2 linked regions of the Yarrowia lipolytica genome follow. The protein of the gene in region 2 interacts with the protein of the main gene of each other region in a pairwise test. Links are inferred from orthologs where the notes say so. Each region holds a gene or a part of one and is shown on either strand. Other genes may lie near its edges.

Evidence for each region.
Region 1: the proteins of YALI1_E31034g (region 2) and YALI1_E25541g interact in binary tests that used the Saccharomyces cerevisiae proteins (3 or more experiments, as listed by UniProt). The link is inferred for Yarrowia lipolytica from reciprocal best matches to the Saccharomyces cerevisiae genes LTO1 and YAE1.

What each region holds. Positions count from the first base shown.
Region 1 is NC_090774.1:2,552,198-2,555,213, forward strand, and holds YALI1_E25541g (uncharacterized protein), read left to right. Parts: upstream 1-1,960; coding exon 1,961-2,326; downstream 2,327-3,016. Other genes in the region: YALI1_E25537g (uncharacterized protein), read right to left, coding at 1,078-1,575; YALI1_E25549g (uncharacterized protein), read left to right, coding at 2,733-3,016. UniProt on the Saccharomyces cerevisiae protein: The complex LTO1:YAE1 functions as a target specific adapter that recruits apo-RLI1 to the cytosolic iron-sulfur protein assembly (CIA) complex machinery.
Region 2 is NC_090774.1:3,101,841-3,104,797, reverse strand, and holds YALI1_E31034g (uncharacterized protein), read right to left. Parts: upstream 1,326-2,957; coding exon 1,255-1,325; intron 1,190-1,254; coding exon 787-1,189; downstream 1-786. Other genes in the region: YALI1_E31031g (uncharacterized protein), read left to right, coding at 1,716-2,816. UniProt on the Saccharomyces cerevisiae protein: Essential for life in oxygen, but nonessential under anaerobic conditions. Required for biogenesis of the large ribosomal subunit and initiation of translation in oxygen.

The sequences.
Region 1 (3,016 bases), about 550 kb from region 2:
ACGATGATGTTTTTATGCGAAAAAAAAGCGAATCATTAGAATAAAATAAAAGCAATCATTAGAATAAAAAAAAAGCAAAGATTCAGAAGTGTATGATTTATTGAATGCCAATAACCCGGCTTACTACTAGTAGGTATATAGCTGTAATGAATCATTAGAATAAAAAAATGCGCTTAATTATCGAAACAAAAGGTGGTTGTCTAGGGGTGTGGTGAGTCCAAGAGGTATAAAAGTTGAAGATGCGATTTAAAATACAAGGAATATACGTCATTTACAACCTTTATCCACCCCCGTGCTTTCAGTGCTGTAATTTAAGCCGCTGTAAAAACACGTTGTTTGCAAGGTTGTGTTTTGTTGTTTTTTTAAAAAAAATAAAAATAAAAATAAAAATAAAGGAACGATATGGACCACTCTTAGACATACAGTTGACTCTGGTTGTTTTTTTTTTTAAATAACTCACAAATGTATAGATCTATAATGTAGATGTCACGGCAATTGTTGTGAATGCTCAAAACTCGACATTCCGAGGGTCCTTGAGGGCGTGCTTGATGTACTTTGTGTGTCGTCCTCGAGCAAACAGAGATAGATCCGAGGCGTTGTAGAAGTCAACGGAGGTGTAGGCCAGGGATCGGCCCATGTTATCCAACAAACAGTCCATGATGATCTTGTTGCCAATCTTGCCTCCGGAGCCAATGTAGGAGACGTTGATGTCGGTAGACACGCCGGTAGCGAAAGCTCCGGAAGAAGCGACGGCCATGGAGCCTCCGAGATCAACCAGAGACGCAATTGTGCCTCCGTGAAGGATTTGAAGCCGGTTGGTGTGCTCCTTGGCGACGGTGAGGCCGAGTCGGACCTTTCCGCGTTCAGCAGAGTCGATGGAAAGCTGTGTTAATGGCGGACAGAGGGGGTGGCGTGGAATTTGGCGGTTACCTGAGGGCCATTGAAGTACTGGCTGCAAATTCGGTGTGACTTCGGTATTATTGATATGGCTGGTACGCAACTGAAGTCATATTCCGTCTGTATTTTAAAGATAGCTCGAACATCTCATGTAGAGATTCGATGATCACAAACTTGGAACTAGGGAATGTGTCTGTAGACTATCTCTGAGTTACAATCAACCATAGCCCAGGGCCTCTTCCCCGAAAACTCACCGAACGTACCAGTACCATCTCTCACTCTCCCATACTCACCTGAGACAACAGCGTGGGCTCTAGGCCACTGAGCTGGAGGAAATCTCCCCATACCTGCGTTAGTAACGTGTAACAGGCCAATTGGGGCCTTTTGGGGTTCTATACTCACGGCTCGGACGTGTTTGAGAACCTGGGCGTGCGACATGTTGATGTGGGGAAGATGAGCATGCATGCATGAAGTGCAAGGGAGATTGGGTGCAGTGGAGCTACTGTACCTGTAGGTTGGAAGAGGTTGCTTGGTATATTTTATGGACGACATGTTAGAAGTGGCGGGGAGATGGAGTATGTTCTGGAATAATAGAGTCGAGACGATATGATAAAAGATTTCAGGCTTCTTGAGTGATGATATTTGAGCAAGATAGGTCCTTAATGTTGTTTCGTTCATTGTAGCAACCGATCAGTGGATAAGTCTAGTTGGGAGAGGTACAGTAGGGTGTTAAGAAAGCGTCACCGAAAGTGCGGTCCCACAAGTACCTACAACAGCAAAATCGAGAGCTGCTTTAGACTAGAATGAGAGACCTAGCTTGTGAGGTTGAAGTGGCCCACTGGTGAGATTGATGGATAAAAAAACCCATCCTATCGCCCTAGCAAACCTCCACTGTTACCTACATTCCTAACTACACTTTACTTACACTTTACTTAAAACTCTGGTCCTTAAAAGACCAGCCAAAAATTCCAAATAAACTCAACATGCATGCTGATTTGTAAGGGAGCCTGCACATAAAAATGGCATTGAACTGACATCTTTCTCTAAACAGAGCAACAACGACATGTCCGACATCTGGGATGACGAGGAAGTGAGAGAAACGCCCAGCGAGATCACACGAGTGAAGCGCGACCACTCACAGGCAGGCTACCTTGCTGGAGTCACAAAGGCCAAAGACGAAAGTCTGCAGGAGGGCTTCAACGCAGGATACCCCATTGGAGGCCAGCTGGGGCTCTCTATCGGGCGTATTTTCGGCTATTTGCAGGGAAAGGGTCTTGTTGAGGAGGAGAAGCAGGCCCGCAAAGAACTCAGCAGCACGAGGATCTTCGACAGACAGTATTGGACCACTGATGCTGCTCCTACATATGAGGGAGTGCATCCTCTGGTGAAGCAATGGGAGAACAAGATTGACGTCATGAAGCGGGAATAGAGGAGGTAGATGTTGCTGAGTATGCTTTGTGGAGTCTGGATGGTGTACAGTTACCAGTACTCTTACCTCAGTTAACTGAGAACGAGATCACGTCTTGGAACAGAGGACCCCACTACTGTCCACCCACGAGTACGGTGCGACTATTTAATGATTAATGATTGTATTTTAGAGATGCACTTCAAGTATATGATAATTTAGTAGAAGATCTGTATCAAAATCTCAAGCTCTGAGCTTTCTACCAGCCCCCTATCATTTTCGCCCCATATTCAGCTCTACTTAATTTTCTCAGTAAACTCAACTAAACATACTCGACGCCCCACGTCCAGCAAAGTTCAGACATGCATGAAATTTCAGCGTCTGAAGTTATCACCAAAACGAGCATTTTCTCCTGTCCAGCAAAACTGCCATGAGTAAACTGGAGGTGCTACAGCCCCACAGTGTCGGCAAGCGGATCGCTTCGATAGCCGTGAGTGGGACGTTGGCCCAGCAGCAGCGGCGGATAGAGGAGGGCACACAGCGTACACGGAACCAACTGCGCACGCGACAAAAAGATTTTTCACGACCAACGGCTAAAGACACGTACTTCGCGGGCGTGTCCAAGGAAACCCGTTTTATCGACACATACACGGCCCGGCTGCGGCAGTCGCATCTCACCTTACTATTTGAGTGTCCTGTGGACTGGCAGCTGGT
Region 2 (2,957 bases):
TCGCTTTTGTGATTAGCTAGTGGTTAAATCGCGTTGAGTGGCTAATTAGCGTAATCAGCAATAGCGATTGGGACCGCCTGATACTGATGCTGAGGAAGAATTACGACGGTCGTGGGTCACTTGACTGTATTTGAGGAGTAAATGTCCTGGCTGATCTATCTACAAGTATGTAAATACACACAGTAGAAGAATCGTTACAAGTTCACTTCTTCAGTTTAGGGGTAAAAATGACTGCAGTTGTAGGTGGTAATAAAAGCAGTTGTCATACAAATACTGTAGCTACAGTTCTACAGTACATGCTGATTACTGGGTGCTGGTGTAGGTCAACACACCGCCATGTGTGTCTTCTAAAGTCCTTTAGGAAGTCAAAAGATTGCTTAGGCTTGAACTTTTCCTATCTACAAGGACTCAGTATTGATCACATGAGAAAGTCTACCGTCAAGGGACTCTTCGCATTTGCTTAGAATTCAACATACAGCTCTAAATATAATGTGTCATAACTCATAACTCATCAATTTCGTATATTCATTGCAGCTTCGCTCGTCTGAGCGACTCAGCAGGTAATTGAGGCAGATCGAGTGGCAAGACTCTAGAGCACCCTTATTTGAACTGCATTAACCTCCTTAGAACGAGATGAGACAACCTGAGGCGATCGATCTGCATACCTGTGTCATTATCATTGTCTGAGATGCAACCGTCAGGGTTGGGTGCTGAATTGGTAATCTCCCTTCTCTGGTTAGCTGAGGTTTTCTTCCTCACGCCACTCCCATACGTCTAGATATCGTTCTAGAAGTTATCCTCGATATTCTCCTCTTCAGTGTAACCCTTGAGCAGATCCTCAAACACCACCTTTTCGCTACCGATGCTGGCTGCCAAAGTTCTCACCTTGGCCTTGGCCTTCTTCATCATAGTTTCGTATTGATGAACGACCACACTATCGTTGGATAAAAAATATGTGGGCTCCTCCTGGTGGATCAGCTGCTTGATCTGTTGCAGTCGCTCGACTGTCTTTTGCTGTTTGCTTTCAGGTAGATCAGCCACCTGTTCCTCCCACACTATGACTCGTCCCTGGAGCAAACCGAGATCCAGAAACCGCTGATATCCCGTCTGTACTCCAAACTCACGTCCTTCAGCAAACCCAGCCTTTGTACCAGCCTGTAGTCCATCATTGTATCCTTCTTCGTAGAATCTGTGGTTAGCATGATAAGTTTTCCGATGGTGGTGTCTGAGCACCTTCAGTTACCTCTGACTCACTTTTCTTCAAGCTGGAACAAGTCCTCGAAGATGTCGTCGTGCTGCTTCATTTCTGTAGGGATAGCTGGCATTTCTGTAGCCGCGGCGGAGAGTGTGATAGATGGTGAGTACAATAAATTTGATGCTTTATAATTGAATTTAACCTGCAGATGAAGAGCTGCATGTATCGTATCGCACGTAGGATGCGACTGCTTAGCCAGAGCAAGAGAACTGCCACTACAAGTAAAAAACTTTGATTAAGGAGATATGTGTGTTCGAAAAAAGGTGGTCCAAATTGTTGGCAGGTTCTACAAGTACTGTATTTCACAGAGATTGTGTTAACCTGTAGGTATAATAATATAATACATTAATTTTCAATCACTAAGTCTAGTTGGATTTGTTATTGGACATTTAGTAGACTTATATACTCCTTTATACTATGCACAAACATTCGACATGCATGCTGTGATTTCTTCATCACCATGTCTACTTTTAACACCAATAACCCGCTCCAGCTGGCGCCTGAGGTTGAGGAAACGACCGAACTCGATGAATTGCTGGAGGAGGATATTGGGGGACGAGTCCGGGCGCAGAAAAAGGGGCTTCGAGGCATCGATGACGACTCTTCCGATGAGGATGCGCCTGTGAAGGGAGCAAATGGACATGGAAACAACGACAGTGACAGCGACATGTTCAGTGAGGACGAAGACGAAGAGAACAAAGAGAAGGATAACGGCGACAGGCCCGAGGAGGAGGAGTTTGATGACGAGAAACCGCAGTTCATGGATATGGAAAAGTTTGAGGGCGATGTCGGTACACACACCACTGTGGCCCCTCTAGAAGAAGAGGAGTCCGACTCGGAAGTGGATATTGACTACTACACAAAGGACGACATGGACGGACTGGATGTGGATCTGAGCAGGGCAAAGAAATACACACCCAAGATGGAATCGTTCAATCTCAAGCAAGACTTGGAGGAGGGCAAGTTCGATCAGGAAGGCAATTTTGTCAAAAACGCTCAGGACGAAAAGGAGCACCAAGACTTGTGGCTGGATGGAGTCAGCAAGAAGGATATTGCTGCTGCCAAGCGTGCGCAACAGTCCAGGAAGGAATCCGCTGCTGCTAAACCGATTATTTCAAAGGTTGAGCTGTTGCAACAACTGTCGGAAGTGCTTCAGAGTGGAGAATCGTCCTTAGCGGCTCTTGCGCGACTAGGAAAGGAGCGCAAAAAGCTCAATGGTGACGAGAAAAAGGCTATGGTACAGCAAATCGAACAGCTGACCGAGTACTGTGACGCTTTGCTGTCTAGAGACATGTCCAACATCTATGACATGACTCGAGAAGAGGTCCAAAAGGAGTACTGTTTGTTGACGGGCCAGTCGGTCAAAGATCTGAAACGAAAAGTGGATGAGATTGAAGACGAGCAGGAAGAATGGGTGTTTCGATGGGCAGAGGGAGAAGAGGTCCACGGTCCCTTCACTAGCTCCATGATGAAAGGATGGTCAGAAGGGTACTTTACGGACGCTGTGCAGGTAAGAAAGGTCGGAGAAAGAACCTGGATGAACCATGGAAAGTATGACTAGAGGTGGGAATGTATAATATATTTATTGACCAAGCAGCGTGTGGACGTGCGTAGGTGACACCAGAGCTCCAGTCCATAACATATCTCAGCATCGGGACTCCATAGCAGTAGTATCATTCAAAGGGTCATGACCTGGCAAGAT